3 linked regions of the Schizosaccharomyces pombe genome follow. The gene in region 3 interacts genetically with the main gene of each other region. Each region holds a gene or a part of one and is shown on either strand. Other genes may lie near its edges.

What was found.
Region 1: mutations in pus1 (region 3) and sec28 together harm fitness more than expected from each alone (negative genetic interaction), as found in Schizosaccharomyces pombe (one large-scale study listed by BioGRID).
Region 2: mutations in pus1 (region 3) and meu13 together harm fitness less than expected from each alone (positive genetic interaction), as found in Schizosaccharomyces pombe (one large-scale study listed by BioGRID).

Annotation. Positions count from the first base shown.
Region 1 is NC_003423.3:2,325,193-2,329,001, forward strand, and holds sec28 (coatomer epsilon subunit protein), read left to right. Parts: upstream 1-2,281; 5' UTR 2,282-2,313; coding exon 2,314-2,344; exon of another isoform or gene 2,345-2,388; coding exon 2,389-3,224; 3' UTR 3,225-3,309; downstream 3,310-3,809. Other genes in the region: put2 (delta-1-pyrroline-5-carboxylate dehydrogenase), read left to right, coding at 64-1,710. UniProt on the Schizosaccharomyces pombe protein: The coatomer is a cytosolic protein complex that binds to dilysine motifs and reversibly associates with Golgi non-clathrin-coated vesicles, which further mediate biosynthetic protein transport from the ER, via the Golgi up to the trans Golgi network.
Region 2 is NC_003424.3:975,416-979,137, reverse strand, and holds meu13 (homologous-pairing protein 2), read right to left. Parts: upstream 1,430-3,722; coding exon 1,381-1,429; intron 1,335-1,380; coding exon 1,281-1,334; intron 1,234-1,280; coding exon 1,132-1,233; intron 1,090-1,131; coding exon 949-1,089; intron 861-948; exon of another isoform or gene 806-860; coding exon 501-805; downstream 1-500. Other genes in the region: SPOM_SPAC222.18 (Srp1 family splicing factor), read right to left, coding at 1-18, 117-235; GTP-binding protein Sey1, read left to right, coding at 2,405-2,561, 2,675-2,749, 2,808-2,893, 3,001-3,722. UniProt on the Schizosaccharomyces pombe protein: Required for proper homologous pairing and efficient cross-over and intragenic recombination during meiosis. Acts indirectly in a process facilitating homologous recombination. Acts during mid- to late-horse-tail period.
Region 3 is NC_003421.2:2,118,721-2,123,130, forward strand, and holds pus1 (tRNA/U2 snRNA pseudouridine synthase Lsp1), read left to right. Parts: upstream 1-1,894; 5' UTR 1,895-1,944; coding exon 1,945-3,021; intron 3,022-3,086; coding exon 3,087-3,442; intron 3,443-3,481; coding exon 3,482-3,653; 3' UTR 3,654-3,910; downstream 3,911-4,410. Other genes in the region: Ku domain protein Pku70 , read right to left, coding at 1-175, 250-346, 418-600, 666-698; SAGA complex deubiquitinating submodule subunit Sgf73, read right to left, coding at 4,031-4,410. UniProt on the Schizosaccharomyces pombe protein: Formation of pseudouridine at positions 27 and 28 in the anticodon stem and loop of transfer RNAs; at positions 34 and 36 of intron-containing precursor tRNA(Ile) and at position 35 in the intron-containing tRNA(Tyr).

The DNA of each region.
Region 1 (3,809 bases), on a different chromosome or scaffold from region 3:
GGTTTTCTACGTTTTATTTATGCGATATTAATACTTATTAGATTTATTTCATTTTTAAGTAAAATGTCACAATTTGCTGAGTTCAAATTACCTGCCATTAAGAACGAGCCTCCTAAACACTATGGTCCCAATAGTGCTGACAGAGAGGGAATCGTCAAGGCCTACAAGGAGTTAGAGGCTGAATTACCTGTCACTATCCCTGTCATCATTGATGGTAAGGAAGTTGAAACGAATACCATTGGTGAGCAGCGTTGTCCTTTTGAGCACAAAAAGGTCGTTGCTCGCTATCACCGTGCTGGTGCCAAGCACGTTGAAGATGCCATTGAGGCAGCACTTCGTGGAAAGAAGGTCTGGGAATCCTTACCTTTTGCTGACCGTTCTGCCATTTTCTTGAAGGCTGCTCATTTGATAAGCACCAAGTACCGTTACAAGCTCATGGCTGCTACAATGATTGGCCAGGGTAAGAACATCTGGCAAGCTGAAATTGACGCTGGAATGGAGATCATTGACTTCCTTCGCTTCAATACCAAGTATGCTAGTGAATTATATGCCAGCCAACCTCCCGAAAACACTCCTGGTGTCTGGAACCGTATGGAATATCGTCCTTTGGAAGGTTTCGTTTATGCCATTACTCCTTTCAACTTTACAGCTATTGCTGGTAACTTGGCTGCTGCCCCCCTTCTCATGGGCAACGTCGTTTTAATGAAGCCTTCTGACCATGCAGTCCTTTCTAGCTACATTGTTTACCAAATCTTCCGTGAAGCTGGTCTTCCCGCTGGAGCACTTCAATTTATCCCTGGTGACGCTGTTGAAGTCTCCAAGGTTTGTTTCAACCACCCTGAGTTTGCTGGTCTTCATTTTACTGGTAGCACAGCCGTCTTTCGTAGCCTTTGGGGAACAATTGGCGAGAATGTTGCCAACGGAAAATACCGCACTTACCCCAAAATCGTCGGTGAGACTGGTGGTAAGAACTTTCATCTTGTACATTCTTCCGCTGAAATTAAGAGTGCCGTTGTTAATGCTGTTCGTGCTGCTTTCGAATATCAAGGCCAAAAGTGCTCTGCCCTTTCTCGTCTTTACGTTTCTAAGTATGCTTGGGAAAATGGTTTCCGTGATGAGCTTACCAAACAGGTCAAGTCTCTTAAGGTCGGTGCTCCTTTAACTGATTTTGCTAATTTTGTGGGCCCTGTTATCCATCAAGCAAGCTTTAACAAACTGAAGAAGGTTCTTGAGAGTGCTGCTTCCGATTCTGAAATTGAAGTTTTGGCTGGCGGTAAAGCTGATGATTCCGAAGGTTTCTTTGTTGAACCTACCGTTTTACTTTCTAAAAACCCTAAACATGATATATTCGTTAACGAATTGTTCGGCCCCGTACTGTCTGTTTATGTATATGAGGATGACAACTTAGACGCTGTTTGCGATCTCATCGATACTACCACTCCTTATGGTTTAACCGGATCCATCTTCGCTCAGGACCGTGTTGTTGTCAGAAAGTTGACTGACCGTCTCCGTAATGCCGCTGGTAACTTCTATATCAATGATAAGTGTACTGGTGCTGTTGTTGGTGAACAACCTTTTGGTGGTGCTCGTGCCAGTGGTACTAACGATAAAGCTGGTAGCGGAATGATTCTGTCTCGATTCGTTTCTCCTCGCTCCATCAAAGATACGTTTGCTTATGCAGACTCTGTTTTATACCCTTCCAACTTTTAAGTTTGTTTTGGCCTTTTTGATTTGGATTTAATTTTTAGAATTTAGATAGACATTGGAGTTGTAGAGTGTTTTACTCTGTACTTTGATACTGCCATAAAAAAGACCACAACCTTTTTTTTTTTGGGTTTAGTACAATATGTGAGGAATAAAGGAAGTATATATATATATATATATTGATTAGTTACCTTGAGTTAAACTCAAACTTTCAAAGGTAGTCTAGGTTTTACAATTTTTTTTTTTCTTTTTTTTTAAAGCTCGCCATTTGTTATTCTAATAAATTATAATGTTCGCTTTGTTAACATGTATTGATTTATAACACTAGATTTGTTGCATTGTATATAAAAGCCAGTGGACCAAAATGTAGTTTGCTGGTGATTCTTGAATACAACAACGACCTGTAGAAAAAGGATCTCAATTATCGAACATTTTACTTGCTGACTGCGAAATATATTATATTAGGCTTCGGAGCAATTAGAAAAATTACAAGTCTTGATGGAAAGTTCGTTTGCTTTACATTTTGTTGTAGGGTTACTCATGTACAAACACCATTAACCCACATACTCTCTACTCCACACATCGCCCAACATAATTAAAACTTTTAACATGTTTTCATGGGAGGCTAGTTTATCTAATGGTAAGAGATGAGTTGGGAATTAAATAACAACTAATATTTGATAGAACTGTATTTTGTTCGTCAATACTTTTATAGTGGAAACTATACAAAGTTATTTGAAATTGACACGACATCCATGTCTGAAAAAGGTCTTGAATTGACCGAAATTTATATGGCAAGGGCAAAATTAGCTTTAGGTGAAAGTTTAGAATCAATCCAAAGTATTTTAACTCAAAAAACGCCTGGATCAGCTGCTATTCTGGCGCTGGCTGGGGAGGGGAACATGGAGTTAATTATTGACCAGCATGGCAATTCAGACAGTGTGGTACAAACATTAGGAGCTATTTTTCAAATTAAAAATGGTTCTTTTGATGATGCAATGGATTTATTAAAGAAGTCAGTAGAGAACTTGGAGGCGGTGGCGCTTCAAGTATACATTCATTTACGAGAGCACAAAATTGAAGCTGCTGAACAGACATTGAAACAGGCTTTGGATTGGGCTGATGAAGAAATTGTACTACAGCTGGCACAATCTTGGATTAAAATAGTTAGTGGAGGCGTCGAATCCTATAATGATGCATTTTATGTTTTTGAAGAGTTAAACGGAACTGATAGCAATCCAATGACTTTAACTGGTATGGCGTGTGCAGACATATGCTTGTTGAGACCTGAAGAGGCTTTGAGCTCGCTGAAAACTGCCCTCGATTCTCAACCAAATTACGAGGAGGCACTATCAAATATGACTACTGCAATCACGGATTTAGGCCCTGATGCTCCTTCTCAAGCCAAGAATATACTTTCATCTTTTACAAATTCTTCTACACTGAAGTTGAACGATCATTTAAATGAAAAGGCGCAAGAATTTGATACTTTTTCAACTCAATTTTTGAGTACGGCTTAATCCAATAATAATATTGTTTAGAATCTTCAATCCATTAATAAACTTCAAATGTTTGCATTTTTAGTATTTATTCATTGACTATTGCTTCACTCAAGTAATGGCTCGTTGATCTGTCTGGCAAAGCAAGTCAATCCAGTATTGCCTCGATAAATTTCAAGTTTACCAGAAGTAAAGGTATTAAACTAATTAATTAGAAATACTTAACCGCATGCAGAAGAAGACTCATGTAGACATAATAACAAGAAAACGCACCCGAATATATCTCGAAATGAAACATTTAAATGAACGCCGTCACAACAGGAGCGTCTTTAAACCGTTTACTTTTATTTATCAAATACATTCATTAATTAAAAATGAACTATTATGACTATCCACCTATATATTTGTTTTTAAAAATCTAGAATAGGTGGTTCTTGTCCAAAATTACTCAAAACCTGCAGTGCCACAAAATGACAAGCAACAAGTTTGCCTTTACAAATAGAAAAGAAAGATGTTTTGAAATACACAGGTGTTTGGAATTTGGAAAAAGCAAGAAAACCGATATTAAACGATAAGACTTTAAGAATCGAAGATGAACTTGCTCAA
Region 2 (3,722 bases), on a different chromosome or scaffold from region 3:
CGAACTATTCTACCCCATCTATTATCATCAATTAGAACAGATGCGATACAAAAATAGAGATCACTTGACTGAAAACCAAAGTTGTAATCTACAATCAGTCATTCAATAACAATTACTTTTCAAAGGCCTGGCCTAGTGTCCGGGCTCTCATATCCGTTCCGAAATTTCGAATATACAAAGTATGCCCAGGTTTATAATTAAACCCTGTTGGCGTATTTGATGGTGCATTAGACATTAGCTTAAATTGCAAAATCTAATGCTTTCACTAGGCTTTCTACTTTAACCAAAAAATCAAAGCTATCACGACGTAAGAAGCACTAGTCATAACCACACAGTATAGCAAGAGGACAGGTAATGTTGTGCAGCAATGCAAGCACATATTAGAGCAGTTGTCTGCTAAGGTATTTATATTTAACTATGGATAATGACTTTTCTTTGAGCTATATAAATTTAATGATTAAAATGTTAAAAAGGGATCAGCTAAATTTAAAGTTAAGTTTTTAGTTTAAGTCAATTGGTCCCTCCGTTTCAAATCCCAGTTTTTCCCATAACTGCTTAGGGTTTTCCAAGGAATCAGTAATTAAATGCCATAAATCATAAAACATTTTCTTTCTGTTTGAGAATCCTTTTTTTGCAAAATCGTAGTTTTTATCAGTCTTTTGCATTGCTTCCTTGGAAATTTGTTTAACGGTACCATTTCGAAGAGATTCGAGTTTTGAGCTGGTTTCTTCAATTTCTTTATCAATGCTCTGAATTTTTTCACGAATTTCGGCTGGACTGAGTGAGTTATTTAAAGCTTGTAATTCTTTTAGAGTTAGCATAAAACAAGTGCTGTGTACGCTCAAAACAAATGAACGATACCATCAATAAAACTTTGATCTGTTTTAAATCATGCATATTATGTGAAGTATCATTCTACATTTTAAAGAATAGCATTTATTTACTGACCAATGCATTTCTCTTTGTATAGAGTTTTAACAACTGAAACCTCATCTTTTAGTTCTTGAATTTGCTTCTCCATTTCAGCCAATTCTTCAGGAGTAGCAGCTGCCAAGTCATCTTGAAGACAAACGAACACACTTTGTTTTCCTCAGTAATCGTTAGTAATCTGTTTAACTAATTTTTCAGTACCATATAGTTTCCCATGGATTAGTCCAGTGTCGCGTAGCTGCTCCAATGCTTTCTGCGCGACCTGTTTACTGACAACATTTTTCAAATTAGCACTAACGTCAGCTTTTAACAAAATTGTCAGCTTCGATTTTTTTAATGTATGTTCTTACTTGCAGAATAGGGACGATTCGTTTTTCGTAAATACTCGTAAACAAGTTTTTCAGCTGCGATTGATTAGCTGAATACCAATGCCTTTTGTCAATATTATACCTTCCTCTCCTTTAATAGGTTTCGCTTTTACTTCTTTCGCCTTAGCCATTTGCTACAATTGCGATGTGTGAGGAAAATAGTAAAAGCGCGATGTAGCATCAAACATTTATATATAATATTTACGCGTGGCGGAGACAACGCGTTTTCCCCAAGCCATTCTCCTTTGTTCTTAGCTAAACTAAGGAAGAAAATCCATGAGAAAGGATTTTAACTATTTTACGCACCTATATAAAGTACTCATAACGATGGGTTGAATTGCGCATCGTGTCAATGAAAGAAGGTTGCATAGGATAGTGAGACATTAGTACAAAGAATTCGATTCCTAAAGCTATGCTAGAAATTTTATTAAATTAAATAATTTCCAACCTTGCGAAGGGCTATATTATAGTATGTTTGTACTTTTTTAGCATATTCGGCAACGTCAAAAACACTTCACAAATTGAATGAAACCGATATCGTCGAATACTACGAAGCGCTTTTGAGAAACGTTTAAGCTACACTCTTGATTTTGCATCTAATACCTATTATTAAGTACTGTTCTCTGTAAACATACAAATCTGTTTCCTTTTTAGAAAAGCACAAATTTCCTGTCTGTAAATGCGATAAGTCTTTGAAGACCATTGTGAAAAGATTCAAAACAATGGCCGAATGACTCTTTAAAATACATTCCTTTCTTCAACTAAATCCTTGGTATTTTCTTTCTTTAAAAATCATAATTTTAACAAGAAAATATATGGAGCTAACAGACAAACATCTGAACATTCGCAGAGTAACTTAGTAAACATTAGAAAGGAAGAGCTAACGAGTGTTGTTATGCCATTGCTAGTTTACTATAGGAAAAGTATCATCTGTTTCATGATATTTATATAAACAAAATTATGCAAAACCTGTCTTTTTACAATAATTTAACTTAAATAGTTATATATTTGTTAATGAATACTGAAAATGTTGTCAGGATATATTACATCCTCGACATCACACTACCTTATATGTTTGTTAACTTGTCTTCCGCTTACACCAAAACATGAGTACTGCTTCCAATAGGGTTTCCACACAAATTGTGGATGAACATAAACAATTCAACAATGAATTACCAAAGTTTATGCAAAGCGTAGGACTGTTAGATGCTGGTTTCAACTATCATGTTGTTGCCGTTTTGGGTTCCCAATCTACTGGCAAGAGTAAGTAGATTAAAATCAACTTGAGAGTTCTATATCCAACCAATGTTATAACATCCTTTTAAATTGGATACTTAAAGCTTTCACTGAGCAAATTTGATTAACTCTATGATTAGGTACATTGCTAAATAATTTATTTGGGACTTCATTTTCAGTAATGGATGCTTCCAAAAGGCAACAAACTACTAAAGGTAAATCTATTATTTCTTTTTAATTAAAACATCTGAGCTTGCTGCTAATTTTTGTTAGGTATTTGGTTGTCGAAGGCAAACAATTCGCCTATTCTTGTAATGGATGTAGAAGGCACCGATGGTAGAGAGCGCGGTGAAGATCAGGTAAGATTTTAATGCGAACTAATTTGTTACTATTAGTTACACATTAGTATTTCCTTTACTCATAATTGATCAATATTTTCTTTTGGAGTCATTACTAACCAACCTAGGATTTTGAAAGAAAATCAGCTTTATTTTCCATTTCAACTAGTGAAGTAATTATCGTTAATATGTGGGAAAATCAGGTTGGTCTATACCAAGGCTCAAACATGGCATTACTTAAAACAGTACTAGAAGTCAATTTACAACTTTTTCATAACAAAAAAGAAAGGTGCTTGCTTCAATTTGTTATTCGGGATTTTTTGGGAAATACTTCAATGGAAAATTTAGCAGATACTATTATGACCGATTTGAATAACATTTGGGCATCCCTTTCGAAACCAGAAGGATTCGAAAATTCCGTAATTAATGACTTTTTTGATGTTGGCTTCACTGGTTTACCACATAAGATTTTATGTTCTGATGCTTTCAGTGAAGCTGTTGATAGTTTGCGTGAAAGATTTGTGGATAACAATAATTCTGATTACATATTTAATGTGAGTTATCATAAAAAAATCCCCGCTGATGGTTTTTCTCTTTATACTCGTGAGATATGGGACACCATTGAAAACAACAAGGACCTTGATTTACCTACACAACAGCAATTGCTTGCTCAATATCGTTGCGATGAGATTATTACTGAAGTAATGGAACCTTTTTCTACTGCTTGTACTATTTTACAAAAAGAGTTTTTACCCGGTAATTTATGCAAGGACCTTCCTACCAAGCTCTTAAACATGTTTGAAACTGTTATCGAAGCTTATGATCGACAGGCTAGTAGATACAACGTGCA
Region 3 (4,410 bases):
ATAATATCGCGTTCAGTTGCATCCCAAGCAGGATGGTCATTATCTGTAATTAAAAATAAGCGTTTTTCAAAATTTTCAGCTTTAGTAGTAAATATAACACTGCAATGATAAAGTACACTAGACAGAGAAACTTGACAAGAGCATGGTTTGAATTTTTCTTTTGAGAATTGGAAATCTTAAACAATTGAACAAAATTAGTAATCAGTGGGGAAAAAGCATGAAAGAAAGTAATCGGTTAAAAGCTTTTACCTTTTTCAAAGCTTTGTAAGCTTTTAATACGTTCAGCATCAGGAGGATCAATGTCTAAAAGCATCATTTGATTTGCGAATCGGCCCGTAGAGGACTCCTGCGCTGTGGTTAGAGACATTTAATGGCAGAAGTAAACGTCGGTGAATTTAAATGCAGCATTAAACTTACAGTACCATAGAGCAATACACCCATTATGTCGCTGGGATTTGTGATTACTCTTTGAGCCGCCAGCTGGTACGCACAAATAAGTGCCATCTGCAAAGAGCTGGGAGTAAATTCATCGACAGGATCAAGCATACTGGGAGAAACTTCAATCACAAATAAAATGGCATATTTTCCAATTGCAAAATTCTTTAAACAATCGTCAGCATAATAATTTCAAAACACCTGCGTCTACCAGTCCATATTGGTCATACTTCTGTCTCATCTATTTGTTCATCGTTTTCCATGTAAAAAACAGATTATCAAAAACAATTTCCTTGGCTTTTTAAATACGACAAAAAGAAAAAAGAAGCACGCGTAATTATAAAAACGCTGATATTTTATGTAAACCGTCCGATGATAACGGCTAAAGCACACGAATGAAATAACTATTTCATTAGTATCTTAAATGTCAAATAATTTAATATATTGATATACCAATATGAGTTATTAAGCACCAATTCCAATATTTGAGAAAAATAATAAAATGCACAATGGTGTCAACATTCTAGTGGGTGTTTTACACGCACTGTGATTGTTGCGAATACGTTAAATTTAAAGAGCTCAAGTAAAGCCGTCGTAAGTTGCAACTAATATTAGTTCGTTATAGTTCATTTGTGTCGGCTACGCAGTTTGGTATCTGATTTAAAGATACGTAGAACTGCGGTGAGTTTTCCTTGTGATCTATTATATTACAATACACAGGTTGTATAAGTAGCAACTGAGTATAGGTATTGTATTAACTGGGTTATAATGTTACCTATCACTAATATAGCTCATAACTGAACTGAGGAACGAGGTTCAGCAGTAGCTCTATTTATAGTATTCAGATAATATACATATTAATAGATTTTAATTAAGATCAATATCAATATCGTATCATACATGGTACGATATATAATTAGAACATGTGACATATAGTGAAACGCAACGTAATATATCATAGCTTAGTGTAGTATTGCTGACAATTTGCGGTTTTGTTCGTAACGTGTGGAAGAAAAAAATAAAAAATGAGGTTTATGAACGATGAAAAGGACTAGATTTTTGATATAAAATTGATAATAGGTATACTTTTCTTAGTTATTGGAAGGATTAGTCACGGGTTTCAATTTGGCCTTTACTTCGACAACTGGTAACAAAAGATAAAACACAGAGACAGAGAATAAGCAACAATTAATAGTCAGTCTTAAGTCATTCCTTTTTCAGGCTGATTATTTTTTTTTGGTTTGAATGCTTCATCAATCTGTTTTTGCTCGAAATGCGATACAATATTTAGCTTTTTAATTCTTAAAACTTTTAACTTAAGGTAAGCGAAGTATATTGTTTTATAATTGTTTAGTGAACCATCGTGTAATTATACTCTTATCTTATTGAATGAATAACGATTCCTTGCATTTCATTATTAAGAAAATATACTCTACTATGTTTAAATGAATTTTTACCTGTGCAGCGTAAATTGCGTTTTCATCAAAAACAAATAATATTAACTACAGCATGGGACGTGGTGGTAAACGCACTTGGTACAATGGTGATCGTCGAGAAGCGAAAAGGAACCGACCTAATTCTATATACAATGGAGAAGGTCGGCCAGAGAATTTGGTAGTTGGAGAAAAAAAGCCGAAAAGAAAGGTCGCCTGTCTTGTAGGTTATTGTGGTAGCGGATATCATGGTATGCAATTGAATCCTCCTAGTAAAACAATCGAAGGAGATCTTTTTGATGCTTTTGTGAAGGCTGGTGCCGTTTCTTCTTATAACGCTGATGACCCAAAGAAAGTTGCTTTAGCAAGAGCCGCAAGAACTGATAAAGGAGTTCATGCCGCTGGAAATGTTATCAGTCTCAAACTTATAATGGAAGATGAGAAGTTAATTGAAAAAGTGAACGAACACCTCCCTCCTTCCATTCGCTTATGGGATGTGATCCGTACTATTAATTCTTTTAACCCAAGGACTTATTGCGAATCTCGTATATATGAATATATGGTTCCAACGTATGCTTTTGTTCCACCGAAACCTTCGTCCATACTTGGAAATTGCATTATGAAGAATTCTCCCATGCCTGCTGAGCCAATTAACAAGGAAAATATAAATCAACTCAGTCGTTCATTATTTTATGAAGAAGGAAAGGAATTTTGGGATGATTATGATATTGCAGCCAAAGAGATTTTGAGCCTTTATGAACAGGATCCTGAAGGCTTCGTAAATCCATATTCTAAAAGGGGAGCTGCTGCTCTTGCTAATTCGGAAAATAATAAGGGCTCTGAAGCAGGAGTTTCCGCTAAAACTAATCCAGATATGGATTCCGATTCCTCTGCTATTGTAAACGAGTTTTTAAAGCCTGACTCTGTTGAAGACGAATCTGCTGGTTCCAAGATTGATCCCAGTTATCGTCTCGAACGTGCACTTAAGCACATTGAAGTACTTAAATTAAAAAATTACCGTATTTCCGCAGATAGGCTGTCCGTTATTCGAGAAACTTTAAACCAATATGTTGGAGTTCATAACTTTCACAATTTTACTGTGGGGCAAGCATTTCATCAGAAGAATAGTAATCGCGTGATCCGTTCTTTTACTGTAAGTAAGAATTATCTTCTTTGTATTTATAGTATTCTTGACAAGTCTTGTTTCTAACATTCTAGGCATCTGATCCATTCATGATTGGCGATACAGAATGGATTTCATGTAAAGTTCATGGTCAATCTTTTATGTTGCACCAAATTAGAAAGATGATTGCGCTTGCTATTTTAGTTGTACGAACGGGTTGTCCTGTTGAGCGCATACAAGATGCCTTTAAAAAAACAAAAATTAACATACCCAAGGGACCTGGTTTTGGACTTTTATTAGAGTCACCGTTTTTTAAAGGTTATAATGAACATAAAGCTCCAGAGAATAATCGTGATCCTATCGACTTTACAAAGTACGAGCAAAAAATTACTGCTTTTAAGCATGCTCATATTTATGATAAAATTTTTCTCGAAGAAGCTCGTAAACAAGTGTAAGTATATTTTTTTCTTAAATTAACTAACCGGTTTAGATTTCATTGTTTTTTGTCTTTTATTGACAGTTATAATGAAGAAGATTTCAGTTATTTATCAGATATAGGCATTACTGAAAAGACGCAAGAGGTTTCCTCAAAATTGCCTGATGTTCTTTCTAGCGATGAAGAAGAAGATTCGGCTGAAAACAAGGATGATTTAGAGGGCTAAAGGATTGATTGTGAGACTGAGGATTTGCAACAAACTGATACCATAAACTTTGCTGTTTCTTTTAAAAAATTAGACTACAAACGTGTACATATATTTTTGGAGAATACTTGTTTCTTTCTTTTTTTTAGAATTGATTATTGGTTTTGGGTTCTATTGGTATTTTTATAGTTTATTAACTTCTACTTGATTATTCCAAATGTTAAGACCGTATGGTGCAATATACAAAATAAAAAATGAAAAAATTAATGAAATAGAAACTAGATGAACGGAGGAGAAAATTAAAAAGTCGAAAATGCGTGGTCAAGTAGACCAAAATGTAAACTATAATCTCATAAAGAATTTAAATCATCAACCGAAGCAAAATCAAAAGAATTTCTTTATAGTGGTTGGCGGGCACTAAAAGGAATCACTCGTCCCAATATAGTACCAGTAACTTGCATACCCTGCTCACCATGTCGAAATGCAGCAGCTATTAACTCTCTAGTACGAAAATACGAATGGCGACGTTTTACGGGTAAAAAAACTTTTTGCTCCAAAGGCTGATTGCCAGATTTCTGGAGAACATTCATAATGAAACTGACTTCTTCATCAGAATCAACAGGCGCTTGATGCTGATTATCTTCGGATTCTTTTGCAGTTTCGAGGATTTGTCGTTGTATTTTTACTTGGTTTTTCTTTTGACAAGCTGCAAGCAAAACATCGTATGGCTGAGATCTTCCCGGAACGGCTCGTTTGCTTGACATTGAATGCGTTTTAC